Linked DNA regions of Rattus norvegicus. The protein of the gene in region 4 purifies or fractionates together with the protein of the main gene of each other region. This does not show direct contact. Links are inferred from orthologs where the notes say so. Each region holds a gene or a part of one and is shown on either strand. Other genes may lie near its edges. The genes, in order: Cd22, Cd72, Kdr and Ptpn6.

Region 1 (7,640 bases), on a different chromosome or scaffold from region 4:
GCCAGTCGCAAGACTGTTTCTCACAGAGCCTTTTCACACTGTCCCTGAATCAGTCCTCTCCTACTCCCTCTTGCAGCTGTGAGGCACACTGCCAGAGCCCATGCCGGTTAAAGCTGTGTGACTGTGACTTGTAGGCCCCCATCAAGTTGGGCGCCTAGCCTTCCAGAATCCTCCCAAAGGATACCCTTAGAGTGGCATGAGACTTAGCTACTGCTGTCCAGATGTCCAGACATTCAGAATATGGGGGGGGGTGGGAGGACCCTGTCTGTATTCAAGCCATTAGGTGCCCGACAAACAAGTCTGTGTCTTGGAAGCAGCTCCAAAGCAAGCTGTGAAGTGCTAAGGAATGCCAAACAGTGGGGCAGAAGGATGACACAGTCCCTCTGGCTCTCAGATCGCTCAGGACTTCTTCAGGGCCTTGCCCGTTGCCTACTAATGCTATGTCTCCATGCCCCTGACTGGGTAATCCTAGTAGTAGGCAGGGTCTCACATAGCCCAGGTAGGCCTTGAACTTGTTACAGAGCCAAGATGACCTTGAATTTATGATCCTCCTGCCTTTGTACCTTCAGGGCTGAGAGCGTTTGTGTAAGTGTTGCTACATTTGTTTCTTTTATGCAGTTGGGGATTGAATCCAGAGCTTCATGTATGCTAAGTATCCTATACTGAGCCACGCCCCCAGTCCCTCACTGGGGGATTCTAGGCAGGGGCTCTACCACTGAGCCACGCCCCCAGCCCCTCACTGGGGATTCTAGACTAATGTTTGGTTGCTGAGCTACGCTCCCAGTCTCTTATTGGAACATTGTAGGATAGTATTCTGTCATTGAGCTACATCTCTGGTCCACTTTCTACTTTTGAGCCAGGTTTACTAAGTTGCCTAAGCTGGCCTTGAAGTTTCTCTGCAGCCCAGGCAGGCCTCACATTTGTGATCCTTTAGTCTCAGCTTCCCCAGTAGCTGGGATGACAGATCTGGGCCACCAGGCTGGTGAAAGCCATTCAACAAACATCTACTAAGTAACTACCGTAAGCTGAGGCTCTCGGTCAGTGTCTAGAAGGCAGCGGTGAAGCACCAGGAGCCTGTTTGCTTGTCTTTCCAACACCTTCATACCTCCACAACAGACACCCCCTCCATCCCCACCCCAACACCCCTACACCCCACACCCAACACCTCTATACCCTACACCCCTCACCCCCACACCCAATACCCCCTGTACCCCCAAACCCAACACCCTCTACATTGAATACCCCCTCACCCTACCTCCAACACCCACTACACCTCCTTACTCCCACAACCCCTCACCCCTACACCCTATTTGCCTTCCTTCTCCATTTCCCCCTTTCCTCCAAAATCAAGAAGTCAGTCGGCTGCTCACAGTGGACATCCAGCTCAGCTTCCTGTTCTATCTTTCCACAACCCAGACGGTTCTCTGCCAAGCAAGAGTATTTCCCAGCATGCCACAAGGAGACATTAGAGATCTGGAGCTTCTCATGGCTGGCTCCGGGTACCATTTCCCCATTGTGATACCAGGTGTAGTTTGTTGCTCTTGGACTGGCCAGTGAGTCGCAGATCAGCTCTACTGACTGTCCCTCTTCAGCCGGTGAGGGATAGATGTGAACCTTGGAGGGTTCCGGAGGATCTGAAAGAACGTATGGCAGCCACGGGACAGGTGAGGGGAGCCTGTCCCGTGGACACCTGAGCCTCTGCTATCTCTTGAGGGCCCTGCTAACTCCATACCTCCCTCACCAGCTTCACGGGAACTCACAGAGCACCGTGAGTGCCACTTCTTTGGACTGTCCTTGGCCTATGTTGTTGGAAGCCCGGCACTGGTATTTCCCTCTCATGTCCTTGGTCACTGAATGCAGAGTTAGCTCCTCCTGTTCCTGTTGTTCCTTCAGGAAGCTCCCATCCTTGAACCAGGATACCTTCTTGGTACTGAGACTCGGGTTGCTGCTGTTAACCTGACATGTCATGGTCACAGAGTTGCCCTCCTTGACCTCTGTGGGATTGACCGTGATCTGCAGTTTTGGGGTGTCTGCAGGGACAGAGAAGCAGTTGCAGAGAGGACAGGGAATGCTTGGTGGCTGCACTTTTTTCCTGACAATAGCAGTGCACACATCTGTGATTCCTTAGTCCACCCAGGTGATTGTCCAAGCTCCTCACCCGTCTGCCTGCTCCCAGTCGTCCGTTCCCTGACCACATTGTCTCTGCCGGCAGAGATTGGCACTGAAGCTATCCATTGGGCTTGTACAGCCCAGGAGACCAGTGGCCTCCCTTCTATACTTCTTCCGCTCTTACCTCGAAAGGCTCAGGCTTGACCCACACTCCTCTCGGGTCCTCGGCCTCTGCCATGGGTACACTGCTTCACCTCAGGACCTTTGCACTTGGTCCTTCTTCTTAAGATCTTAGGATCTGCCTGTTCTAGTCCCTCACGGCAGCTGAGGTCTGCACCTTCCTCACACAAGCCTCTAACCATCACCAGCCTCCTAACCCCCTTTCTTTTTACCTTTTTTTTTTTTTTGAGGTATTTGTGTGTTCATGCACATGCACAAGTGGATATGGTTGGAGGGAAACTGTGGGTGTTGTGTTTCAGAAACCATCCATCTTGTTTTTTCATTTTTTTTTCTTTTTTTCGGAGCTGAGGACCAAACCCAGGGCCTTGCACTTGCTAGGCAAGCACTCTACCGCTGAGCTAAATCCCCAACCCCTTGTTTTTTCATTTTTTGAAACCGGGTCTCTCACTGACCTAGAGCTCAATTATACCAGACTCGTTGGCCAGCAAGTCCCAAGGATCCTCCCCACAGCTGAGACAAGCAAAGGCCACCACACTCAAGTCTTTTGTTGACCTTTTGTTCTTCCAGACAGTGTTTCTTAGTGTAGCCCAGGCTGTCCCAGAACTCGCTCTATAGACCAGGTTGGCCTCATACTCAGAGATCCACCTGCCTCTGCCTCCTGAGTCCTGGGATTAAAGTCCTGCACCACCATACCCTGCTTACATTCAGCTTTTAAAATGTGAGCTCTGGGGTTCAAAATCAAGTCCCTATTCTTATAAGGCGAGTACTTTTTTAAAAAAAAGTTTGTTTTCCTTTCATCGTGTGTATCTGTGTCAGAGGGACTCAGATCCTGCAGAGACAGAGTTCTCGTCTGCTGCCTGGTGTGGGTGCTAGGATTTGAACTCAGGTCCTCTGCAAGAGCAGTAGGTGCTCTAAACCATGGAACCATCTCTCCTAAGTACTTTAAAAAAAATATTATGGGACTGGAGAGATGGCTCAGCAGTTAAGAGCACTGGTTGCTCTTCCAGAAGACTCAGGTTGCCAGCACCCACAGAGAGGATCACAACTGTCTGTAACTCCAGTTCCAGGGCATCCAACACCCTCTTCTGGCCTCCACAAACACCATTCTTGTGGTCAGTGCACAGACATACAATCAGGCAAAACACTCGTACGCATACAAATAAAAACTTAAAAATCTTTTAAAAGTTAATAAACGGCGTAGTATCACGGAGTGCTAAGCGTAAAAGAAATTCAAAGGAGTTTTATCGGGCTGGCTAGGCAAGCTCAAGAGTTAGCTACCCGGCCCTCTTTTTTTCCTTAATGCACATATCTCCTCCCAGCAATTCTGCTTTGTGTTTCTTGATTCATGTTTCTTACGCGTTTCCTCCATTGCAACTGTTACTCCGCACAGGCAGAACCTAACTCAGTGCTGTGTTCTCAGCCTACACCGGCATTCAAGACAAGACCGGCACCGAATCAGTGCACAGGCTTGGCTGTTTGTTTGTTTGTTTGTTTGTTTTAAGGTAGTGTCTGATTGGCTTAGATCTCACTATGCAGACCAGGCTAGCCTCAAATTCACAGAGCTCCACCTACTTCTGCCTGGTGAATGCTGGGTTTAAAAGTATGTTCCACCATGCCAGGCCCCACAGTAAATATTCATTCAATGAATGAATGAGTGAATGAATGAATGGATGAATGAATGAATGAAGCATAAAATAATGAGGTAAAAACTTACATGTTTGGAGAACAATGAACCCTAAGGAGGTGATCTTCAAAGTGTGCTGTGGCTTCAGATTGACTGGTTGGGTGGTTGGTGCTGGAGATTAGCCCAGGGTCTCAGAAGTGCTGAGTAAGCACCATACTGCTGAAGTACATCTCCAGCCCTTTTGTTTTTGAGACAGTGTGTTTTACTCTGTAGCCTTGCCCTCCTGAGTGCCCAATTCCAGGCCACTTCACTAGGTTGCCGAATGAGGTTCAGGTCAAGGCAAAGGCTAAAACGAATGTGTCTTGAGACTAGGACTGACAGAAAAGACTGTATGGAGAGCCTGAGCCACCCCCAGAAACAGGTGACCGACAGCTGACACAGGCTTTTCCCACCCTTGGTGCAACTCGACAGGATTTAGGAAGAAGGTGACAGGTGGCGTCCTTCCCACCCAGAGACTCACACTTAACATCCAGACGCACTGTCCTCTCAGAGAGCACTTGGGAGAAGTGCCAGACTTGGCACATCATGCTCTTTCCGTGGTCTGTCCACTTTGGCTGGAAGGTGAGCTTGCTCTCTGTATAGACGTTCTCAACGGAGGAGGTGATGGAAGAGGTGACAGGGCTGACCTCGGACCCGTCCAGAGACCACCGAAGGCTGATGTCATACCCAAAGCAGGTGAAATTCAGTCCACAGGTCAGAGAAACCCTTTGGGATTCCCGGATTTCCGATGGCAGCTGGATGTAAGGTTGGAACGGTCTCTCTAGGGGGAAAGAAGAGAGAGGCCTGCTTGCTGGGGATGGGACACAGACAGGCCTTTCACCCCTGGCTTCAGGCATCCTGCCCCGTGGCACCCCAGAGGAAGCCCTTGCAAGACTATCGTTAGCTTTTTGTTCAGTTTGACTACTCTGAAAGGCCTTGGGAACACAAAGCCTGCTGGGAGAGTGTATCTAACACTGACTTGGTTTCTCACTTCCTTCTTCTATTACATTTCTAAATGACCTCAGAATCACCCAGGGTGATCTGATTTGATCGATTGGTTTAATTCTCCGTGTACTGCTAATCATTGGTGACGTGCTCGTGTCTGACAGCCTCAGACTTAAGAGTCAGCCAAGCACAACATTGCTTTAGTGGGGTGATCCTGAGGCCCAGTGCTCAAATCTCCACCACACTAGACCAAGATGTCAAGAGGCCCAGCACAGACAGCTCAGTGTGGACCGGTGATACTATCTAGGGCAGAGGCCCCTGGCTGCTGTTGTGGGTCACCTCTGAGCCCCGTGCAATCCTCGTCTAGCCTAAAAGAATTCCTTTAATTCTCCTAGCTTAAAAGAAGAGAGTCGAGTCCAGAGTGGATATGATCCTGAACCAGGTTAGGAGGGGCAGGAAGAGGGGAGAGAAGGGAACCAGGTGTAGCAGCCAGGAAAGAAGGCAAAAGGTAAGAGAGGGGGCAGGCTACCCAGATGGCTGGATTATATAGGGAAGGGGGAGGGGGAGGAGAGGCAGACATGGGGGGCAGCCCAGCCCTTGGGCTGGAGAGTTGGGTTAGAGATGGGGGGTGGGGGGGAACAGGTGTCAACCACTCTCTCTGTACCAAGTAGGGACTGAGGAATGCTGGGAGAACCTGAGGCAGGGCCCTCTTTGATATTTTAACTAGGCACCTCAGCTGTTTCTTCCAGGGTTTGAGACCCTAACTCTGATCAGGTAACACCGCACTTCCCCATCCCTCTTTGCCACTGCTAGAACAGTCAGCTGCCTTCCCATGCCTTACCAGAGACGTTGAGGTGAATGTGCTCCATCCATTTGTCAGTCCCTGAGATCAACCTCAAGCCCAGCTTCCCACTGTCATTGGCATGTATCGGGTCGATTTTCAGGGTACAATTGTTCGATCTGTTTCCCAGAAATGTTACTCTGTCTTGCTGAGAAAAGTACAGCTCAGTCTCTATGCTCGCCTTCGTGTTGTTATAGAGGACCTTTCCTGTGAAATCCCTGGTGGTGTTGTCAAACGTATAGTTCTGAAAAAGGAGGATGCTGTCCAAACGCGACCTAGGCTTTGGTACTTTGTACTTGCAAGGAATCTGGATGCAGGCTCCCTCCCAGGCAAAGAGGGTTTGGGGATGTTCAACAGACCATCCAGTTGCTGAGCGGAAGGAAGCCACATGTCCTAAAGGCACAAATCTGGTCAGAAGCTGTTACTGGGGGATGGGGACTTCCACTAGGAGTAGGAGAGGGAGACACTGGGGAAACGCGGTGGGGCAGGAGCACAGAGTGTCCTTCTCTCTTCACACTGCCTCCCTGTGGTTCCCCTCCGATGCCCTAGGCCCATCCCCTCTCTGCACCCGCTGTTATCTGCAAACCCAGCCTGGGCCTCAGCACTTACCAAGGATCAGGAGGAGCCACGGGCAGGGGACACACATGATGGCTTGTCTGGGTGAGATCTAAGAAAAGAAGAGTTAGTCTGCAAAACTGGTTGTGTTGGTGTGTGACTGTAAGCTCCGGAATTTGGGAAGTTGAGGCAGGAGGATTGCTGGGAGTCTGAGGCCAGCGTAGGCTGCATTCTGACACCCTGTTTCAGCAACAGCCACAACAACAGAAGGAATTTGCCTTTGAACCATCTTGTTGCTTGTCCTTTGTCCACTCAACTCTGGCTCCTTTTTCCAGTTTGGGGGGTAGCTACCTGGTTATGGGATAGAGATGTGGGTTTGGGGTGCTCATAGAGCCTCTTCTGGGTACACTGTACTTCTTCAAGCAGGCTTTCTCTCCTCTGTCTCTCTCTCCCGTCCATTTATATGTTTTAAAATTTTTATTTTATATTATTGGTATGTGGGTGAGTGCAGAGCTGATGTATGAGGCACGTGCAGGCCGAAGTGCATGTGTAGACGCCAGAGGACAACTCTGTGGAGAGCTCTGTGGAGCTGACTCTTTCCTTCCACCTTTAAGTGGGTCCCAGGAATCCAACTGGAATGACCAGGCTTGTGCAGCAAGCATATTCAACCCCTGAGCCACCTTGATGGCTTTCATAACTCTTAAAACTGTTCTCTCAGGCTCTGTGCTGCCAGTTATATGCCTCAAATGCCAGACTCAGGTAGAAGGGTACCATTGCAAAGTTATACATAGAGTCAGACCGAGTGAGTGGAAAGACTTGGGGCGTGGTAGGGTGGCAGTGAGGGGAATCACATTGAAACAAACCTGATCGAGGCCTGGCAGTTCGGCTTGGAATTCCAGGTGCTCCAGAGGCTGATGCAACACAATTGCAAGTCCAAGGTCAGCTTGGCTACAAAGCAAGTTCAGGCCCAAGTCAAAGTAACAAAATGCTTGTCTCAAAACAAAAATAAAAAGAGGGTTGGGGGTATATCTCTGTGATACAGGAATCACCCATGGAGGCAATGGGGGCTGGGTTCAGCACTAGAACCCCTACCTAGAATCCCCCAGTGAGGAGCTGGGGGCTTGGCTCAGTGGTAGAGCCCCTGCCTAGCAAGCAAAGGACCTAGATTCCATCCATAATACTATACCAAAAAGTAAAACTAAACTCATATTGAAGTATGACATAAGCAGAACACCTGGAGGAAGTTAGAAAGCCTTAGAAACAGAGAGTGGTCTGCACAAACCCCTCCTGAGCCCCAGGTGCTGATAGGGAACAAGGGATCCCTTTTCTAACATCAGCCAGTTGCTA
Region 2 (6,567 bases), on a different chromosome or scaffold from region 4:
TATCACACTGACTGCTGAGTGATACTGCAATGATGAGGTGCCTTGGAGAACCGGGAGGGAAGGTTGGAGTAGTGCTTAGTGCTGTGGTGACACGGGGCTTTGGGGTCTATACTAGAGGACCAGAGAGCAGGGGATGGGTGTGTGAGGATGCTTGTGTGTGTGTGTCAGAACTGTCTGGTCCGACGGGAAGACGGAGGCTTCACAGCTGTTGTGGGTGACTTCGGACTGGCTGAAAAGATCCCTGTGTATAGGTAAGATGGCCACCCTTCTTACCCGGAGCCTCCCAGGGTTGCCCTACGCCAGTGGTGCTTTCTGTGGGTGGAGAGGAGGCTTACCCCATCCCCTTTCGTCTGGGGATGTCTGAATAGAAGATTCTGACCACCCTGCCTCTGCAGGGAAGGGGCAAGGAAGGAGCCATTGGCTGTGGTGGGCTCCCCATACTGGATGGCCCCAGAGGTATTGCGGGGAGAGCTGTATGATGAGAAGGTAAGAGCCTCAAGCCCCCCAGAGACCTTGAGAGCCCCCATCCAACAGCTCTGTTATATATGTGGAGCCCCCGGCCTTGCCCCTTACCCCTCACTGCCACCCTTCCAACCCAAGATAAGTGCTGACTCCTCCCCCTTGGCATGGCCCACTTCCCTCCAGGCCGACGTCTTCGCCTTTGGGATTGTCCTCTGTGAGCTCATCGCCCGAGTACCTGCAGACCCTGACTACCTACCCCGTACTGAGGTGAAGTAACCTCCACTGTATGTGCCTCAACCAAGAAGGGCTCTGTGGGGTCGATTCTCACAGTGGGGCACAAGGAGAGCCCACTGAAGGCTAACTTGGCAGCCCCTCCTCTGTCCCCACAGGACTTTGGTCTGGATGTGCCTGCTTTTCGAACTCTGGTGGGAAATGACTGTCCGCTACCTTTCCTGCTTCTGGCCATCCACTGCTGCAGCGTAAGTGTTACCCCTGCCCTGCCCCTAACCATGAGTTGTCTTCTATGTCTGGGGAGATAGTGGAGGAAACTCACCATCTTCTGAGCCCTGAGCAAAGCTGTCTTTATCCATCAGATGGAACCCAGCGCCCGTGCCCCTTTTACTGAAATTACCCAGCACCTGGAACAAATCCTGGAGCAGCTGCCTGAGCCCACGCCCCTCGCCAAGATGCCCCTTGCCAAGGCTCCCTTGACATACAATCAGGGTACGTGAGCATGACCTTGACCCAGCAGAAGTCCTTCTGCCTCTCCTGAGAATCAGTTATCTGGAGGAGGCTAATTGGATCTATGAGTTAAAAGGTAGGCAGTCAGGTGGGAGGGTGGAGAGGCATCTCATAGAAGATGGGTTTTTATTGCTAGAGCCCAAGGAAGCAGAAAAGGGCGGTAGAAAGGTAGCTGGAGGGGCTGGTGAAATGGCTCAACAGGTTCAGTCATTTGCATAAGGACCTGAGATCCATCACTGGGATCTACATCATGGAAGCTAAAAACTAACACCTGAAAGTTGTCCTCTGACCTCTGACCTCAGTTGACAACTTCAGTGTCCTGTGGTTCATACAGACTAAACAAGGTAGCGGGAAATAACAGTCATCCCTTCCAGAGCACCTGTAGGCTTCCCTTTCTTAAGCTCATGTCCCACCACCTTCCTGGGGATCGAGGGCCTCAGCTCTGCACAGATGCTGAGGACAGTGATCTCACACCTCTCTTTCCACAGGGTCTGTTCCAAGAGGAGGTCCCTCTGCCACGCTTCCCAGGTCAGACCCCCGGCTCTCCCGAAGCCGGTCAGACCTCTTCCTGCCACCTTCACCAGAATCACCCCCCAGTTGGGGGGACAATCTAACACGAGTCAACCCCTTCTCACTGCGGGAAGACCTCAGGGGTGGCAAGATCAAACTTCTGGACACACCCTGCAAGCCGGCCACTCCACTGCCCCTGGTGCCACCATCACCACTGACCTCTACCCAGCTGCCCTTGGTGGCCTCTCCAGAGTCCCTGGTCCAGCCTGAGACTCCCGTCCGCCGCTGTCGTTCACTCCCTTCATCCCCTGAGCTCCCCCGACGGATGGAAACTGCACTGCCAGGTCCTGGCCCGTCCCCCGTGGGCCCCTCGACTGAGGAAAGGATGGACTGTGAGGGCAGCAGCCCTGAGCCAGAGCCCCCAGGGCCGGCTCCCCAGCTGCCTCTGGCTGTGGCCACTGACAACTTCATCAGTACGTGTTCCTCAGCCTCTCAGCCCTGGTCTGCTAGACCAGGACCTTCCCTCAATAATAACCCCCCTGCTGTGGTGGTGAATTCCCCACAAGGATGGGCGAGGGAGCCCTGGAACCGGGCACAGCATAGCCTTCCCCGGGCAGCAGCCCTGGAGCGGACAGAACCCTCACCACCCCCATCAGCTCCCCGGGAGCAGGAGGAGGGGCTTCCCTGCCCTGGCTGCTGCCTCAGCCCCTTCAGCTTTGGCTTCCTATCCATGTGCCCCCGCCCTACCCCAGCTGTTGCCCGCTACCGCAACTTGAACTGTGAGGCGGGCAGTCTTCTCTGCCACCGAGGGCATCATGCCAAGCCACCCACACCCAGCCTGCAGCTGCCTGGGGCACGCTCTTAGCAGTGAGGCCTGTGATCTCAGGCTTCCAACCTTGGCCTTCGGGATACCCTGTAAGGACAGAGTGCACTTGCTGGACAATGCCAGCCCCAGATGGGCTGACTGGCTCTTCTCCCCGTATAGGGGAGCCTCAGCATGGTCTCAATGGACAGAGCACTTCCTGTCCAACCCCTGGGATCACTGGACTAGACACAGCATTGCTGACACACAAGACTAACACGTGCAAATTATTTAAAAATATTTCAATAAAACTGCCTGGCTGGCTCCGGGCCATCCATCCACTCAGCGGAGCGCCCTCCCCTGACCCATCTCTAGTTCGGGAAGTTCTTAAGGAAGGTCAAAGTCTTTTCTGGAGGCTTCTTTACTCTTCCCAAGAATAGTTTCTGGAGCAGCTTTCAAGCAAGCAGCAGGTCGCCAGACCAGAATCAGCCCTTAGCTGGGCGTGCCCAAGAGTGAGGGAGTGCTGGAGGAATAGCAGTCTTGAGAATTGGCAGGCCATAGGTTAAGGATGTAGGTCACAAGGTCTTGTTGAAGTGTCTGGAAAAATAAAGCACCAGTGAGCTCCAGTTGACTTCATTAGCCCTCATCCTATTTCTCCCCAGCTCCTCTCTGTTCCCTGCCTCGCCTGGCCCTGTGTAAGCAGACAGCCACTGGAGGTGGGGGATGAGACAAACGAGGGGACAAAGTCCTCTGGGCCTCTGTCCACACACCCATGCCTCATCTCCCTCATGCTTACCCATTTCAGTTCAGATGGATCCCATCAGGAAACCTGAGCGCCTCCAGCTCACAAATGCAGGGGAAAAGGTCTGTACACGTGTATGAGCTTTCATACCACCATGAATGGTAACATTTTATCAGGTAACATGAGCTTTGAGAATGAGAATCGGACCTGTGAAGAGTTGGGATATACTTTAGAGTCTGCAAGTCCCTCCTTTCCCTTGCTCTTTGTAAAACCTAGTCCAAAGCCTATGACCTGCTAGGGCCACATGGTTCAGGAACAGGTTTCTGAACTTCAGCTCCACAGGCCTTAAGGCCACAGAGGAAAACTCACCCAAGTCTTTTTTTTTTTTTTTTAAAGATTTATTTATTTATTATATATAAGTACACTGTAACTGTCTTCAGATACACCAGAAGAGGGCATCGGATCTCTTTACAGATGGTTGTGAGCCACCATGTGGTTGCTGGGAATTGAACTCATGACCTCTGGAAGAGCAGTCGGGTGCTCTTAACCACTGAGCCATCTCTCCAGCCCTCACCCAAGTCTTAAAAGAGGAAAGCTGCACGTAAGGAGTTGGGTGTGACTTCGTGCACCTTTACAGCACCCAGGAGTCACAGACCTCAAACCCCATGGAACATGAAGTAGCGCCCTGCTTTGGGGTCCCTGGAGCAAAACTGCAGCTACTCTGCCCTCTCCTGAGACCGGTCTAGTGCCCCAGTTGGCATGGACTAAGCAAGCTGTCTGTTTGGGCAGCCTGTCAAGGCTTAGGTCAATGCCAGCACTCCTCTGCCTGAGAAGCCTTGCTGAAATCGCTTCTCAGCCTAATTTGTTTTTAGAGATGTGGGAAGGGGTCTTGCTGTGTAGCCCAGACTGGCCTTAACTCACAATCCTACCTCAGCCTCCTGAGTGCTAGGGTTACAGGAAAATGCCATTGTAATGTAAGTATGCACTAGAGACCTCCAGGCACTATGGATGGAGTATGGAGTAAGGTGCACGTCAGTGAGATGACTTAGCAGGTGAGCACCACAGCCTGGGAGCAGTCCCCGAGACCCACACAGTAGGAGAGAACTGCCCCCCACAGCCGTCCTCTGCCTGCCCTGTGGCACCCCTCCACCAACACGTTTTGTTTTTAATATCTTAAACAAGTTAATATGTTAATCAAGTAAAAGAAACAAGAAACCACAATACCGATTTGTGGGGGAGTTTTGGGAGCAGGACTTAAGGAAGTAATATGCCTTTATAAGAAACTGAGTTGACAGGGGTTGGGGATTTAGCTCAGTGGTAGAGCGCTTGCCTAGCAAGCGCAAGGCTCTGAGTTCGGTCCCCAGATCCAAAAAAAAAAAAAAAGAAAAAAGAAAAAAAAAAAAACTGAGATGACAATACCTCCTCCCCTTCATGTTCTTCATGTTTTGTGGATAATATACAGTATGGCTCATCTGCTCAATCCAATATGACTTTGAACGATCTAGCAACTTCTTTAAGCCATCAGGCAGAGAATCCTAGGGGGTTCAGAGGGGTAAGAGAACAATGAGAATACAGAGTAAAGTGGGGGCACCCTAGGGGCCTATGAATTTCACTTAGCAAGAGGCCACGCCCACTTAGTACATGAATTAATTAATTGCTCCTGCATCTATCCTTCCAGTGTTACCAGACACAGGCTCACTCTCCATCTCCCCTCCAAGCAGGGAAGTGGAGTCAGCCTGTGAACTTCCGGTCTCAGATGAGTGTCAGGGGGTTGGCACTCGGCCTGAGAGGAGTCAATGAGGAATTAAGCAGGCAAGGGGCAGGCCAGCAAGCCAAGACAGACTGAAGTGGAGATGGCTCAGACATGTCAGCTCTCACGGATGCTAAACAATAGGAGCCATGGGATATCACGGGAGTGAGAATGCCCAACTATTGCCACACTTACTGGCTAATAGTGTGACTTCCATATCTGTCTTGGGGAAGCAATGTAAACCATGGCTTGTGTGCAGATGTGCACTGCCATTCCTGACTTGATAGCACACATCTCTTTACATACCTCCACCTCAAAATATAGATAAGGTCATGCTCACTTGTAGGGAATACCTAGGAGGTTCGTTGAGCACAGCCAGTTTGGAGGACAGAGATGTGCAGTATTTTCGGCTCTCCTCCAGACTTCTGGGGGTATTTGAGATGTAAAAGCACCTTTTCTCATGCTGAACCCATCCACTTGGACAGCAGGTGTCTACAAAGCAGAAAGAATATGACAGCCACAACTCTTGGGGTAAATTGACTAATTGGCCAGCTGATTGACCCTAAGGGTCTGCTCTCAATGTCGGTTTTGTCAGCTTTAGTCCTTGATCTTTGCGATCTTTTTGCCTCTTCTGAAAACATTTTACTCCTTAATAACATGGGAAGAATTTCCTAGTGGAGTTAGTACACTGTCCCTGGGTTCTGAAACATTAAAATCTGCCCTAAACTTGCCAACCTTGCCTAGCTCCCACACTGATCAATGGGCTTCTCATTCATTCATTCACTCACTCATTCATTCCATTTAATCCCTAACACATTCAGAGGTTGCCACACTCCTCCAGCCTGTGGCCACATCTCTCTCCACAACTCTGTAAGCAGACAAACTTGGTTCCTGCTTTTCTAAAAATTATGAATATTCTCCATTTCCACTTCTCTACTTAAAAATGCTGATCTCTGTTCTTTTCCGGATTACCTGTAAGAAATGAATCCTTCTTTAACATCCAACGCCCCACTCTGCTCTTGATCACAAACGACTCTTATCAGACCTAGCCAACATTCAGAAATCATTCCCTGTCCACCGCCGGACTCTCTCTCTGTCTCTCACACATGCTATCTCTCTTCCTGTCTTCCTGTCTCTATCCTTCTCTCTTCTCCCTCTCTCCTCTCCTCTCTTTTCTTCCTCTCTCTCTCTCTCTCTCCCCTACATTTTCTTATGTCTCCATCCAGCTTCTCCCATTTTTCTGTGCTGTGGCAACTTAAAGGAATTTTTTTTTTTAGTTGGGTGTGACTGATTTGAAGAGAGTGAGAGATAAACATATCTAAAGGTAGGCAGAGCCTTGAGAACCATGTCAATGAGAGAGAAAGAAAGCGAGAGAGCAGAGACAGAGAGACAGAGAGATATAGCCTAGGCTGGGCTCAATTTCCTCATCCTCCTGCCTGAGCTTCTTAAATGCTGAAGTTACGTGTCACCATGTCTGTCTCAAGATTTTATTGTTCTATTAAGAGGAAGAGAACAATACTGTTGACTTTCACATCAAGGAATTGTGTGCTCTCTCTCCAT
Region 3 (7,640 bases), on a different chromosome or scaffold from region 4:
AGAAGAAGCATGCTCCTACAGGCCCAGGTGAGTGGGACCATGTGCTCTGTTCACTTGCTATCATGCATCCCTTCCTGCCAAGCTATGCCACGGTTCCACCTAAATCTGCAAGGCTATGTCCAAGGAAGTTACTTTCAATGGTACTTAGACTCACCTCCCACATCCCACTATGTGAGTCAGCTCTTTCTCCTTAGTTATCCCTGATGGATACCTCTCCAAACGGATACCATTTGCTGCGTTTGCTAGTTGCCAATCTTTGGATCTTCTTCTGTCTGTGGACTGGAGAGGACCACCCTGCTCCTCCTTATCTCTGGGAAGGTTCAACTCTCAGAGGAAGTGCTGGTGGATGGGAGGCAATGATAAACGTAGCCCAGGCCTCAAGAGTCTCGGGCCCAGCTTATCAAGGTCTACCACAAGTGCAGACATCCTTAGGGAAAACAACAGCCACCACCTTCAACCTACCACCCCAAGCATTCCACTTCCTGTTGTTGTTTTTGAAATAGCAAACCCTAGTTTCTTCCTCAGCTGCTGACCATTTCCTAAACAAAAGTCACCAGTCATTCCCAGAGAGATGACTTTAAGAAGCCCCAATGGCTTCCAAGTTTCCTTACCTTCCTTTGAACTAAGTGAGCTTGAATTGTCTTGTCGATGCAATTTATGAATGGAGACTTGTTCCCAGAATAGCTGCTTCCCTTCTGTATTCTCGGGCAGCTACCTTGGACCTTTGCACTGTTGTTGGCATCTATTTTTAATTGGCGCCAAGTTCTGCGAAGTGTTAGCCTGTGTTGAGAGTTATCACTAAGAACGTGATAACCATAGGCTGACCTTTTCTGGTGCTACTGAACAAAAGAGAAGTCAAATCATGACATGCTGTGCTTTCTCCCTCTTACAGCCAAACAAACCCATATACTTGTAAAGAATGGAGACACGTGAAGGATTTCCAGGGGGGAAATAAGATCGAAGTCACCAAAAACCAATATGCCCTAATTGAAGGAAAAAACAAAGTGAGCTTGAACTTTGATTTTGAATCTCTCTTTTTCTAATTCTTGAATCTGAGTAGAAGGTGGTACAATAACATGCAAAGGTATATTGGAGGTTAATAATCAAATAGTCTGTATTATGTCATCCATAACAGCCTAGGTATAGAGTCAACCTAGGTAGATAAAGAAAGCATGAGTTTTACACACATACGCACACACACACACACACACACACACTCCTTCAATCTTAAATAGCAACAAATTTATGCCATTTGCAGAAAGTTGAGATCATCACATTAAGCGAAATAAGTTAGACTTAGAAATACAAATATGATTTTCTTTTATATGAGTCAGGATAAAAAAAGATATGAAGGTAGAGAAGACAGACTGATTGGGAGTGAATATAATCTAAGTATATTATATACATGTATAAAATGTCATAATAAATCTTGCTGTTTTGTACAATTAATATCTACTAATTTAAAAGGAGAAGGGAAAAACCCGTAGTACCCATAGCTTACTAGCAGTTTATGGAAGAGAAACAAAGCACATAATGCCACTCAGTGTAAGCACCTGTTGAAAAGTAATTCTGATTCTATACACATAAAAAATGAAAAGTGTGAATTATGTCCATGAGAGTGCATCCTTGAGGATTTCTGAGGCACTTTTGTATCCCGTGTATTACTGCCTGGTTAGAGCTGCTTACCTTTGAGGGTGGGCAGTGTGTACCATGAATGGCAAGGGCAGTCCTTAGCAGCTGTGGAGGGCTGATGGATAGACTGTCTCAGTGTGTATGTGTGTGTATATGTTCAGCCTGTATTGTTCATGACTTTGGTCTTGTATGTTCACAGACTGTAAGTACTCTGGTCATCCAGGCTGCCAACGTGTCCGCATTATACAAATGTGAAGCCATCAACAAAGCAGGACGAGGAGAGAGGGTCATCTCCTTCCATGTGATCAGTGAGTAGACCTCTTTGGAGAGTGGGGTGGGGGGAACCCTCAGGAAGTGGGTGCTAATAAGCTGTGAGGTTGTCTGTTGTCTTTGGGATTTGTGTGAGAGGTGGGCTGTGTAGATAGGACTCAAGGTAACAAGCTAGAGCTGCTCACATAGCCCCTGGGCTTGTGAGAGAGTTAATGTGCCATCCCTGGCCAGAGATGGTTTCCACTTGTGCTTTAAGCCTCAAGATCCATGTTGTGTGTAACTTGTCTTGCTCACCAGTTAGTGGGATTCTTGACTTCCTAGGGTTTATGAAGTTATCTGTGGGTCTGTGATAGAACAGCACCGGGTCTGGGGCTTCTGGGAGTATGGGAATGATGTGAAATCACTGGCCCTCTGCCTTCCAACACTCTGGAGTTTGTTCCTGCAGCCTAGTTTTACGGGTAAACTTGAGGTGATTGTACTGGTTCAGACATTTTGGCCTGAGCTAATTACTTGTAATAAATGTGGTTTTCATGTCATGTATTAATAAGAAGACATTGTTAAAGATTCCGTGTGATGATTAAATGCCCTACTTTGGACTTTTTGCTTTGCTTTGTTTCAACTTGGAAACCATATCCAGAACTCAAAGTAGAATGCAGTAAATACTTGGCGAAAATTAATTTCACATTTTCAAATAATACGGTTTGTGGAATGAATTGTCTAGTCTGGCTCTGTCTTTGCAGTAATGGCTGGGGACTGTAAGAGCAGTCTCAGTTCGTCACAGCAGGAAGAAGACAATGGTGTCATGTCCCAAACTAAATCACAATCTTCTAACTATGGCTTTAAATTCCAGGGGGTCCTGAAATTACTGTCCAGCCTGCTACCCAGCCAACCGAGCAGGAGAGTGTGTCTCTATTGTGCACTGCAGATAGAAACACGTTTGAGAACCTCACGTGGTACAAGCTTGGCTCACAGGCAACATCGGTCCACATGGGCGAATCACTCACACCAGTTTGCAAGAACTTGGACGCTCTTTGGAAACTGAATGGCACCGTGTTTTCTAACAGCACAAACGACATCTTGATTGTGGCATTCCAGAATGCCTCCCTGCAGGACCAAGGCAACTATGTCTGCTCTGCTCAAGACAAGAAGACCAAGAAAAGACATTGCCTAGTCAAGCAGCTCGTCATCCTAGGTATGGAGGGACCCCTGGTTGATGGGGTTGCAATGCCTTAAATGCAGTGTGTTTGAGTGCTGTGTGAATAGTACAGGCCTCTGGGAGCTTTTGTAGTAGGCAGGTGTACTCCTGGAGGCAGAAACAAGCTAACCCTGGTGAGGTGATGATATCACTACCAGTATCTGCAAGGGATTAGCCTGAACCAAAGAACTTCCTGTGGCATCTTTGAGCATCCAATGATTAAAGTTAACACATTTGTCTAACACTATTAGCAAAGAGAGGGCCAGAAGCTCAAAGTGATGACCTAGAAGGAGAGGATGAGACCATAGGAAAATACTGGGTGGTTATACCATTGTGGGGCCTCCAATTCTGGAGGACAGAAAATTCTGTCTCTGCTGTAATTTTAGTCCTAGAACACTCTAGCACACACTAGGTTAAACGGTGTGATGAGGGTCTGAGTTTAAGATCTAGAAGATTCCATGAAGGGTGCCATACTCATTGCCTGTGCTTCTATGGTATCCGATGGGGTCCTTGGTAGGTGAAGTTCAGTGAGATAAGCTTGTGATTAAAAAAATAAAAAACTCTTGCATTCCCATGGGGATGCTCTCCATATCTTGTCTACCTTGTACTTTGGACCAAAGGTAGGCATTCTTCTCCTCTGTCTCTAAGGCGATCTGGTGAGATTAGGGAATGTCTCTTTGTGCTTTTTCCTTTTGTTTCCTCCTTTGTTGTATTCTCTGAGGATCTTGTGATATGCATCTTCTCTGTTTTATAGTGTAAGGAAGGGAAACTTATCTAAACCAACATTTTATATGAATATCATTTTTTAAGAGGTTCAGCTTATCTGAAGGAGTGTCTCAAGATAGACACTAATACAAGATTGTATTAAAAACTTGGGCACAGAAGGAACAATGTTTCTGAGTCAAGTCATTCCCAAGACCCTAGAAGTCACACCACATACAGGACCAGTTTTATTCGGTGAGCATCAGTAGCTGGTCCAGATGAGGGGAGAGTTTAGAGAGAAGATTGAAGGAGGCTCCTGGCTTAGCCCTGACCAGGAAGTTTACCATCACCATCAGTGGATATGCTTCTATAAGGAAGCCTATGTTGTTTTTGAAAATCTGTTCTTGGAAAATGACCAGAGCCAAGTATGTTTGTTTAAACTCTGACAAAGTGCACAGTAGAAATGACCATGCACTGCTAAGCATTAAAGGGGGTTCTTTCAATGTGATTCTTTTGGACACCCATCAATGTTTCCACTGCAGTCGATTTTCAGGACAGTAAAGCTCAGGTTTGCTGTACATGCAAACACATGCCCTTGATTTTTCATAGGCTGTTATTGTTTGGATTGTTTGTGTTTTAGTGGAAACTATACTGTATGTTTAGGCCCATCAGATTCTATTATGTCAACCATTTACTTAGTTATAGGGATGTGGGTAAAATGCTTAAACCCCTGAACTGCAATCACATCCCATAATAATAAGGCTAATGGCTTGGCTCTCATTATATGTGACTGGGAGTAAATATTAGAAATGATATAAAGGTATCCAACATTATGTAAGTCACTCCTTACAAAATTGCGCTGAGGTTTTGCCTTTCCTAAGGGAAAACATGAATTTTCCTCTTAGTGGCTACAACTTTAAGAGAAGGCTTAGGGAAAGCCTTGTGAGATTGGAGGGGAAGGAAACCCTCAAACTTGAAAAAACAATCCCCAAAGAGTCCCAAGTATTGTGTGATTTGCAAGTGGGGTGGCTAATGTGAATATTTAAAGGCTTCAGTGTCTGTCTGAAATGTCCTTTCTTATTTTGTTTGACCAACAGGATTGCTGTTGTCATGTTCTGTATAGCTTTGGCTCACTTTATTAATGGGCTACTTCTTATGAAGTTTACTGTGTTTAATAGTCCCAGGACATGAAAACTGTTCTAACAGTTGAGACCATGGGCTCTACAGTTTTCTCTCTCCATTTTTTTTGTGTGTGTGTGCACAGAGCGCATGGCACCCATGATCACTGGAAATCTGGAGAATCAGACAACAACCATTGGTGAGACCATCGAAGTTGTTTGTCCAACATCTGGAAACCCTACCCCCCTCATTACATGGTTCAAAGACAATGAGACCCTTGTAGAAGATTCAGGTGAGTGAGAACTTGTCTATTTCTTTGGTTGTAGGATTATTTTTTTTCAAGGATGCTACGTAGGACTGCTATGGCTTCTTGGTTTGTTTCAAAGTAGACAGACAGCTGTATTTAGGGGACTGGGAAAACAGCTCAGTGAAATGCTTGCTACACAAGCCCTAGGATGGCATTCTCATCTCTGGAACCCATGTAGAAAGCTAGACTCAGCATCCTTCTGTAATCTCAGTACTAAGGGGCAGGGTAGGGGAGTGGGAAGACAAATGTGTCCTTGGAGCTCATTTGTCAGTCTAGCCAGATCCTCAAGCCCAGATTCAGAGAGAGACCCTTTCTCAAAAGAATAATGAGGAAAGCGATAGTGAAGATACCTCACAGCAGCTAATTTGAGTCCTGTTGAGTTTGCATGGAGATCCCATGGGAGAGCAGTCGGTAGTCAACCCTGGGCACCTCTTTAGAGTTAAGAGAATGGTCTGAGATGAAGAGCCCCAACTATTTTTTTAAATGCCCTGGACAAAGCACAAATCACCCCATCAGAAGTAAAGCAGAGTTTCCTTCTTCCTTTAGGCATTGTACTAAAAGACGGGAACCGGAACCTAACTATCCGAAGGGTGAGGAAGGAAGACGGGGGCCTCTACACCTGCCAGGCCTGCAATGTCCTTGGCTGTGCAAGAGCAGAGACACTCTTCATAATAGAAGGTCGGTGTGATGTCATAGGCTCCTCAGGTGGTTTTGGCAATTAGGTCGTATTGTACATAGCCTCAGCTACTAGGATGCCATATGGGTGACTCATGGGGACGCTCATAGTGGTTATAAGTGTCTCATATCTAAAATTTTAATTTAAGCGTCACGCAAGAATACAAAGGCTGAAGGTAATTTTACATAATATTTTCAGGGCATCTACCTTATTTGACTGGAATCTGTCACATGAAATAAGGGGTGGGTGCTCAGAAAGTTTCAGATCTTATTAGTCGATGAGTTCTGAGCTAGGGTTTCCTCCACTTGTTCTTCATAACCTGTCTTCAATGGGCATGCGTCCTTTTAACCGGAGAGCAAAATCAGCGTGCGCTTCAGGCTGTACCATATTTCCTGTCCACGTAGTTCTTGCTGTGAGAAAGCTGTTATCCACGAGTGATAAATATCCCTCCTGTTCCCGGTCCTCACTTTGTTTGAATGGTTAACTTACTGAACTGACACTTCAATATCTACTTGGGGGAAAATAGATTTGGTGTTGGACATTGCTATTTCATTAGTGGCAAGGGTCAAGTGTTCAGGATTTTCCCCAGAGCAATGACAAGATTCACTCATAAACAACAGTTGATTAATAGGTGATTGCTTTTATGATGTGGGAAACTGGGGGTTATAATTGAAATGTGAAAGGAAACTTCTTTCCCTCTACTGTGTGTGTGTGCGTGTGTGTGTGTGTGTGTGTGTGTGTGTAGGATTGACGTGAAGTCCAGCATTTGCTTTTCAGTCAGTATTCTGTGACAGAACATTTCATCTTAAGAAGAGTGTTCTTGGGTCTTGTTTTGTAACCCAGGAAGGGAACAATGTAACTCTGTTGTGTGAGTGAAGGAGTGGTGTGCGAGGGGATGACTGAGGGTAGTTGGAGAGGTAGGTTTGGCAGAATTCTAACAGCTCAAAGTCTAGATCTTGCTCCATACAATCTGTCAAACTCATGTTGTTGGACACTGCATCAAGGCTTCAAGAGCCACTAGCATGCTCTCAAATCTGTAGGATGGTTAGGACTCCATAAACTACAACTGCAAATGAGGTCGCCAAAGGGCATGGTAGTTCTGTCACTACCAAAGTGTTCATGGCTTAGCGCCAATCCCGGGGAGGATACACCCGCCAGTTCTCTCTGGTACTCTGCCTCTACCCACTAGCCATCTGCATTAGGTTACCATGTCTAAGAGGGCACAGTAATATAGATATTATGGAGACTTACCTGGAGACAGGAGGCAGGGAGAGGGGGGTAGACATGGACTGCTTCTCCCGAAGTCCAGCTCTCAGTTGTTAATATGAGAATATTTATTTTTTGTTTTTTTTTTTTCCCGGAGCTGGGGACCTAACCCAGGGCCTTGCGCTTGCTAGGCAAGTGCTCTACCACTGAGCTAAATCCCCAGACAGTTGAATCTTTGACCTTTCTTCTGTCGCTTGCATGAGTAGGCTTTTAAACCTTTACGTACAGATAGAACCATAACTTCTCGAGAACATCAGCAAAACCAAATCAGATGTGCTCAGAGCTCATCTCCCAACTGGTAACTCTTACTTGGTCAACTAATTAATTGCTTGTCTTCTGACTTCTGGGCCATCCCCCCCCCCCAGCTTGAAGCTCATTTTGACTCACGCTGCACAGTGTGAGTGGAGAGACCGAGACCCCAAGTGATAATTATTGTATCTTAGTCACATGGTGCTAATCATTTGGTGCTGAGC
Region 4 (7,640 bases):
CCTGCTCTACATGTTAAGTTTCAGGCCAGCCTGAGCTACACAGTAAGACCCTACCTCAGACACAAAACAAACAGCCAGTCCTGGTGATATATACCTGTAATTACAGCTCTGGGTTGGCAGAAGCAAGAGGATCGCTGTAAGTTTGGGGCTAGCCTGGTCTACATGGTGAATTCCAAGCCAGCCTGAGCTACAAGCTGTCTCCAAAAGAAAGCTAACTTCCCATCTCTAAAACAAGAAAGGGATGGAGGAAAGAAGGAAAGACAGGCAGACAGACAGACAGATGGGAAGACAGATATGAAACAGCTCCTGTGAGATGGCTCAGAGAGAAAAATGGTTGTGGACAAGCTTACCACCTGAATTCAATCCCCAGAACCCACATGGAGGAGGAGAGAACCAGTTCTGACAAGTTGTCCTCTGATCTCTACCTGCGGCCATGGCACACAAGAAAATGTAACAAATTCTTTTTAAACAGAGAAACAAAACAAAAGCTGGGAGATTGCCATTTTCTCTACAATAAGAAAAAGGGGGCTAAGCAGTTGCATGCTGGTCCCAGGTCCTAGTTCAGTCAGAGATAAACCTTCGCAGCATTCGAACCATGAAGACTGTCCCTTTGGCACAGCAGGACATGTAAAACCCTGAGTTCTCTCCCCAGGACCAAGATAAACAGAAAGGAAAAAAAAAAAAAAAAACGGAAGGAAGGGAGAAAGGAAGGGAGAAAGAAAGAATGAAGGAAGGGCTCTAGCCAAAACCTAAATGAAGCCTCTCTCAACTATTCATGAGAAACAGAAAGGCAGTGTACAAAATATTTGGAGGGACAAAATGAAGCGTCCCCATGAAATGGACTCTGACTGAGTTAAAAGAAGGGACAGAAAAACATGGATGGACTCAAACCACAGAAGGCAGCGGGTGCCAAAGGAGACAAAAGTCTGGAAGGACTGATGAAAAAACGCATTTGGGGGTGAGGGAGACAAACATTCCCCCGAGGGAAGAGTATTTCAAGGTTCCAGGGGTAGCAGGGGTTCAGAGGGGCTCCACAGAGCTCCGAGGGGCTGCAGGGCAGAAAGCAGAACTAAGGACCTTTCCGTGAAGCACCCTCTTCCCAGGAGGAAACTGTAGCCCCACAATGCCTAGCCTCACAGGAAACCACGTGATGGAAAAAATACAAAACTCCTTCTGGGGAGAGAGTGAGAAGTGAGGCTGTGAGGTTTCCTCAGCTCAGGAAGGGGGGGCGGCAGCATTTTCCAACCGCAAGGATGGGGGGGGTGGAGTGGGGCTCAGTCCTCTTGGTCCTTCTCAACTCTGTCCAGAGGACACCATAGCTCAAGGCCCTTCAGAGGCTTCTACCCCAACCCAGGCCTCCTGGGCCATCCTAGCCCATTTCAAAGACAGGCCAGAGACCCCAAGCAATGTAAGGGGGCTCAGTTCCTTCCCTCAGGGACAGGATGAGGAAGTCTCCATGCAAATGTGAACAGACCACAGGCAGAGAGTTCACTATTGAGGGGACAAATGCAAATTTCCTAGAAGAGGAGGGGTAAGGACAGAAGGAGTGTTGGGTCATGGCTTCCACATAACCAAGGTTAGGGATGACACTGAGCTTCCCAGCTGGTATCCAAAGTGTCTCTTGGAATCCTCCACAGCCCTGTCGGGGTGTAGCATCCACGGTGTGTCCCGTGCTTCCCCACTGCCCTGGTCTGTTCTCCTAACACCTGTTTAGCTCCCACCTTCTTCCCTATCCCAGGGATCAGGCCAGCCACCATTCAGCTGTACCTCCATGGTCTCCTCTAGCAGGGCACATCCTGGCTTGGAACAGCAACAAAGAGAAAGCAAGGAGTGAAAAGAGAATGAGAGGCCACCTGAGTGTTGCAGGTAGAAGAGAGAAGAGACCACCTGAGGTGGGTCCTCCCTTGCCATTCACCAGCAGGAGAGGAAAACTTTCAAGGAAACATCTCCAGCTTCTTTGTGTCACTGGCAAAGGGTGAAACACAGAGCTTTTACCCCAGTCTTTCACGGTCTATATTGGAGGTGGTAGTGGTGGTTTTTTGTTTGCTTGTTTGTTTGTTTGTTTGGGTGGGTTGGAGTTTTGTTGTTTTGTTTTGGGAAGTTGGTTCTTCAGGATAGAGTTTCTCTGTGGAGCCCTGGCTGTGTTGGGACTTACCTGGTAGACCAAGCTAGCCTTGAACTTAAAGACATCCACCTTCCCCTCCCTCTTTTGAGTGCTGGGATGAAAGGCATATGGTGCCACCAACACTGCGTTTGTTTTAGCTTTTTTAAGTCTCATGTAGCCCAATCTGGCCTCAAATTTGCTATGTAATGGAGGATGAACTTGATCTTCTGGTCTTCCTGACTCCCCACTGGGCTTACAGGCATGTGTCACCCACACCAGGTTTTTGCATTACAGGGACTCAAGCCCAGTGTTCAATGCATGACAGGCGACCCTGGACCATACCCCTCCAGTCCTAAGTTTCGATCAGTGACTTGTAAACAAAACTACTGGGCTAAGTCTGTAGGCACGGATCTCAAGACGGATTTAAAAACTGCGAGGAAAGCAACTCGGTGGCAAAGCACGTGCTCAACACAGACAAGGCCCAGCAGAGGAGTGAGGGTTTAAGCAGAGGAGGGGGATTAAGCTCGAAATCATTTCAACCGTAAATATACAAACACAGGACAGGAATAAGGCATGGGTCCCCGGAGTCCATAAGAAAACCCTAGAGTTATTCCACTGCCCTTTAACAGGAGCTGTCAGTCACTCTGCTTTTGCAGCTAAGATGAACTCCAGTGTAATGAGAGACGTTTATCTCCATGCCCTTCCCCTTGACCACGCTCTGAGAAGACCACAAGAACAGTCAGTCCAGCTATGAGGGCTGTGTCTTTGCAGCACTGCTAGGAGCTGTCCTGTGGGTTTCCTTGAGTCAGGTAAGCCTGAGCCCTCCACGCCTGTGACCACATCAGTGACCTCGCTTCCACCAAGCTCTGTCCAGCCACAGCTCAGTGTGTCTGCTGACTTTCCCTGAGTATCCCAGTGCCAATGAACCTCTGAGACCTTAGTAAGACAGGGACCTAGAGCCCCAGACTGTGTGGAGAGCTGGAAGAAGGCACCAGAGTTCCATGGAAGGAAGAACTTTCTAGTAATAGGGCCCAACCTGATGAGAAATATCATCGACAAGGAGTGGCCTCTCTGTTACTCTCAGGATAAGGTTGCTAGGTAGCAGGAACCCTGCAGGAAGGCAAGGGGAACCCTTCTCTTGCTTCCTCAGCAGACAGGGGATTGGTTAGATATGGGAGTCATCAGGCTACAAAGGAAAGAGGCTCAGCACTGAGAGAACAGGTGTGGAAGGCCAGGGATGAGGAATGGACTGTGAGCAGGACACCCAATCCGGGTGTTCACCCCTTTACATTGCAATGCCCCTCACCTCTCGCTGGTGGGGTCCGAGCAGTTCAGTGGGTACTTGAGGTGGATGATGGTGCCGTCTCGGTCCTGCAGGATGCCCTGCTGCTGAGTGTAATACTCCACCAGCTCTGTCAACGTCGCAAACTTCTCCCCTCCATACAGGTCATAGAAGTCCCCTGAGTTCTGGATCCGAATATGAGTCACCTGGTCATCCACCCTGCAAGGCACCACAGGTAGTGAGTCCCCAGGTACAGGAGCAGCAGCGGAGTGGGCTTGGGGGACAGAAGTCTCCGTGCAAGAGCACACAGGCATGGAGTGGACATAGACAGTGGTGGGCACATGCTAGGGCTACAGGCAGGGACATAAGGAAAGCAGTGCAATCTGGGAAGGCAACCAACACAGCCCGGGGAGCCCAAGAATGCTCAGGACCCACACAAGGTGCAGGGAGGGCCACCCACCTGACTGAGAGGGAGAAGTCACCCTGGTTCTTGCGACTGGGCCGAGCCAGGAAGCTCCCAGGGACTCCCCGGCCCTTGAGCAGGGTCTCGGCATCAGGCCCACTGAGGTCCCGGTGAAACCACCTAGAGGTAGGTGCACAGGGCAGTGAGGGAATATCCCCTGGGCTCCAGGCCACCCTCGTTTCCTATCTCCCATGGCCCTTACCTCACCATCCTGAGGCTCTTGGTGTATTGGCTGCAGAAAACGTGGAGGGAACAGTCTGTCTGGGCAGGCACCTAAAAACTCTAGAGCTGAGCCTTCTACTCAAGGCTCTCAGAGCCCAGGCCTCCAAAGCCAACCTGCTGTCCTGCTCCCGGGCTACCACTCTACTGGCCTGGGGCAGCCAGCAGGGCGGAGACAGGAAGGGGCGCGGCCGACCCCTTAGGGGAACTCACTTGTACTTCTCTTTTCAGAGCAAGGGAAGAGAAGCTGAAGGGTGGCAGGGTGGGGGAGGGCCCACTTCGCACAGTCTGCCATCAGAGGCACAGGAGCATGGCACTAAACACTCATGACTCGAGAGGTAAGGACACACGTGGGTGCCCCTCAGTCCCTCCAGGTCAAGAGTCACACACAGTGAATATCCACATGATCAGGTCAACCTTTCCTCCTCCAGCAGCTGCTTCTACTCAGAATTCTAAGGCACAGCTATAATACTGACAGTGTGTGGTGACACTGTCATTTAATGGAGTGTCAACGCATGCCAGACTCACTGGTACAATGTCATTTACATGCCACCTGTGAGTAACAGGGCACCACGGCCTCACTACACAGGTACTATCTTTATACCCACTTTATAGACAAGGAAACTGAGGCTGAGAAGTCTGAGGAACTGCCCCAGGCCTTACCCTTAGTGAGTGGCAGGACTCAGACCTAAATAGTTTCAAAACCAATGATTTTTGAATTCTGCTTGCCAACCCTCAGGTCCCAAAGAACAGTAGTCAATAGACTCCTTGTCTGTTTTTTGTTTTGTTTTTTTTTCCTTTTTTTTTTTTTTTTTTTTTCCGGAGCTGGGGATCGAACCCAGGGCCTTGCGCTTCCGAGGCAAGCACTCTACCACTGAGCTAAATCCCCAACCCTAGACTCCTTGTCTGAAGGAGATGCTATCACAGCTGACAGCCCCCACAAGGCAACCTCGTGCAGCACTGTCATGGTCACGGGCCTTCTCTGTAGGGAGCGGTGCGACAGCTGTATGATAATGAGGTGAATCTGGCGCCCTCCTAACAACAGTACTGAGCATGCGTGGAGTTTTGCACCTGACGTCAGTCTGGCTGGGGCGGTACTATGCTAAATGGGAGTTCATGCCTCGCCAATCTCTGGAGGACAAGTAGCTGGGATGGCAGTGGGGTGACTCGCGCCCACCAATCCCTGAAAGAAGATTAGCATACTGTTGTGTATATAAGCCGAGCGGCTTGCCGCTCGGCGCGGTAACACATAAAGCTGTAACACTTAAAGCTGTAACACTTGGAGCTGTAACAATTAGGGCTGGCTGCCGCCGCCTCCCTGTATCAACAATGAAGGTGTCCTGCAGTAAAGGCTGTTGAGAAGAATCCAACCGTGTTGCGTCTTCCTTGCCGGACGAGGTGGGCGCGACAAAGTGGTGGCCCGTACGGGGACGAGGACATCCTCGTGGATCTCAGAACTCTTCAGCTTCAGGATGAGCGACGTCGGAAAAGTTCCCGGTAAGGGACGATAAAGTTCTCTGGAGGTGAGCAGAGACGATGGAAGCCTTGGTTTAGAGGCTAAAAGGTCTGCAGTCTGCAGCAATGTTGTTTCCAATGGATCCTTTGTGGGTAAGGCTTGTAATTTTGTTTATTTTTTTTTCTTTGTGTGGGAAGCGGTTAGAGCAGTTAGGATAGGTCAGAGGGTCCTTGCAGAGCAACAAGAAAGTATGTCAGAGGGAGTAAAGGTCCTGAAAGAAAAAAAGAAAAGAAAAGGAGATAAAAGGAACAGAGAGAAGGCAGAGATAAAAAAAGAGGATAATCAGGACCAGGAAACAAATAAGATATATTCTTCTTTAAAAGCCTTGACCTTAGAAATGTCAGACTAGAAAGCATCACTGACAGTTTAGAGAAAGTGAAACTAAAGGTAGAACCATCGGGTCCCGGGCCTCCCGCAGAGCAACAAAAAGAAGCACAAGACTCCACCACCAGACTCATATTGACCCCTAGAATGGGAACTCAGGTGGTGGATACAGATTTTAAAGGCCCCAGTAAGCAGAATTCAGAAGTATCACAGAAATTTAAAGCATGTGCAAAGATAAAGACTTGGGGTAATGGTAGTGGTCAAAAGGGGACACGGTAATAATGGTAAAATGTTTTTGTGTATCATAGATGCTTTTAGTCTTTGGACCCTGACTAGAGACAATATACACCCTAGGCAAGAGAGAGAATGGGGTTGAGAAAAACAGTCCTCCCGAACTCTCCACAGATGCTTTGGCAAAAGAAGGAAGTGAGCTTAAGTTTTTTGAAGCTCTCCTGGGAACAGAAGGAGGTGGGAGACGTCTTGCCTCCTTGCTGGCTCCTATTGGAGAAGTGCTTGTTTCTGGTTCTGGGTTCTTTAGGTAGGATGTCTGGGTCCCTTTGGTGGAACACCATCTAGTTCTTTTCCTCTGTGTCTATTGTTTGTCCTTGGTGCACCAAGCTGTGGATGTATGTCAATTTATGTCTGGGTTTTGCTTCTCGTTGCTTGAATGTTTTGTGTTTCATGTTTAAAAGGAAAAAAAATGGTTAAAACTTTAAATGCTGGTTGATTCACCCATTGATGTAGCTTTAACTCCTTTCAAGAAAGGAACAAATAAATAAAAAGTTTCAATTGGCTTTTGGAGCCGGCATCTGTAGCTAGAAGCCTAAGTTGGCTGGACAAGCTCCCCAGGGGGCTGGCTAAATGTTTATACTAGCCGTCCTAGAAGCGGCCTATACAAAAGTGGTTAAGGTACTTGAAAACAATCAATTGTTCATAGCACCTGAAAAGGTTCAAATGGGCCAAATGGGAGAATATTTAGGAACTAAAATCACTTCTCATAGCATTTCTCCTCAAAAAATTGAATTACCATTTAAAAACATTAAATGACTTTCAAAAATTACTAGGATTCGACCCTATATAAAAATGCCCAATGTAGATTTACAACCACTTTATGAGATCCTGAAAGGGGATTCTCAGCTTACTTCACCCCGTGTTTTAACCAAGGAAGCACGATTATCCTTGAGGAAAGTAGAAGAAAGACTAGAAAAGGCAATACTAAAAAGGTATAAGGAAGAGGAAGATCTGCTTTTGTGTATACTGAGAACTTTTCGTCAACCTACAGGAGTATTATGGCAACAAGGTCCACTTCTTTGGATTTATCCCCACATTTCTCCTAATAAAACCCTTGAATATTACCCTTCTGCTGTTGCACAGCTTGCTGTGTTAGGTGTTAAATCTTGCATTCAGCATTTTGGTATTTCACCAAAGAAAATTATTATACCATATACAACTGCTCAGGTAGAAACATTGTGTGCATTGATAGATGATTGGGCCATATTGTGCTGTAGTTTTGATGGAGAGTTTGACAATCATTATCCTAAGGATCCGCTGCTACAATTTTTTACTGAACATCCAGTGATCTTTCCTAAGATCACTGCCTCAGAGCCTTTGTCTGGAGCGTTAGATATTTATACAGATGGCTCCAAAACCGGTGTAGGTGCCTATATGGTTGATTCTCAAGAACCAGTATTAATTCAATATAGTCCAGGTACCCCCCAAATTACAGAATGTA

The links.
Region 1: the proteins of Ptpn6 (region 4) and Cd22 purify together in Homo sapiens (affinity purification with western blotting; 5 studies listed by BioGRID and IntAct, with this or other methods). This does not show direct contact. The link is inferred for Rattus norvegicus from reciprocal best matches to the Homo sapiens genes PTPN6 and CD22.
Region 2: the proteins of Ptpn6 (region 4) and Cd72 purify together in Homo sapiens (affinity purification with western blotting; 3 studies listed by BioGRID). This does not show direct contact. The link is inferred for Rattus norvegicus from reciprocal best matches to the Homo sapiens genes PTPN6 and CD72.
Region 3: the proteins of Ptpn6 (region 4) and Kdr purify together in Homo sapiens (affinity purification with western blotting; 3 studies listed by BioGRID and IntAct, with this or other methods). This does not show direct contact. The link is inferred for Rattus norvegicus from reciprocal best matches to the Homo sapiens genes PTPN6 and KDR.

What each region holds. Positions count from the first base shown.
Region 1 is NC_086019.1:95,250,585-95,258,224, forward strand, and holds part of Cd22 (B-cell receptor CD22 precursor), read right to left. Parts: intron 7,242-7,640; exon of another isoform or gene 7,157-7,241; intron 6,406-7,156; 5' UTR 6,385-6,405; coding exon 6,348-6,384; intron 6,132-6,347; coding exon 5,739-6,131; intron 4,734-5,738; coding exon 4,434-4,733; intron 2,031-4,433; coding exon 1,761-2,030; intron 1,635-1,760; coding exon 1,371-1,634; intron 1-1,370. UniProt on the Homo sapiens protein: Most highly expressed siglec (sialic acid-binding immunoglobulin-like lectin) on B-cells that plays a role in various aspects of B-cell biology including differentiation, antigen presentation, and trafficking to bone marrow.
Region 2 is NC_086023.1:62,490,353-62,496,919, forward strand, and holds the end of Cd72 (B-cell differentiation antigen CD72), read right to left. Parts: intron 5,500-6,567; coding exon 5,348-5,499; intron 4,793-5,347; coding exon 4,677-4,792; intron 3,465-4,676; coding exon 3,317-3,464; 3' UTR 3,312-3,316; intron 3,141-3,311; exon of another isoform or gene 3,113-3,140; 3' UTR 2,803-3,112; downstream 1-2,802. Other genes in the region: Tesk1 (dual specificity testis-specific protein kinase 1), read left to right, coding at 169-251, 396-486, 646-729, 852-941, 1,056-1,185, 1,692-2,578. UniProt on the Homo sapiens protein: Co-receptor of B cell receptor (BCR) that plays both positive and negative roles on B-cell functions. Recognizes the Sm/ribonucleoprotein (RNP) self-antigen ligand, and coligation of CD72 and BCR inhibits BCR signaling.
Region 3 is NC_086032.1:32,587,280-32,594,919, forward strand, and holds part of Kdr (vascular endothelial growth factor receptor 2 precursor), read left to right. Parts: coding exon 1-27; intron 28-892; coding exon 893-1,004; intron 1,005-1,831; coding exon 1,832-1,940; intron 1,941-2,752; coding exon 2,753-3,094; intron 3,095-5,063; coding exon 5,064-5,210; intron 5,211-5,771; coding exon 5,772-5,903; intron 5,904-7,640. UniProt on the Homo sapiens protein: Tyrosine-protein kinase that acts as a cell-surface receptor for VEGFA, VEGFC and VEGFD. Plays an essential role in the regulation of angiogenesis, vascular development, vascular permeability, and embryonic hematopoiesis.
Region 4 is NC_086022.1:159,221,058-159,228,697, forward strand, and holds part of Ptpn6 (tyrosine-protein phosphatase non-receptor type 6), read right to left. Parts: intron 4,241-7,640; exon of another isoform or gene 4,060-4,240; coding exon of another isoform or gene 4,052-4,059; intron 3,970-4,051; coding exon 3,847-3,969; intron 3,606-3,846; coding exon 3,411-3,605; intron 1-3,410. UniProt on the Homo sapiens protein: Tyrosine phosphatase enzyme that plays important roles in controlling immune signaling pathways and fundamental physiological processes such as hematopoiesis.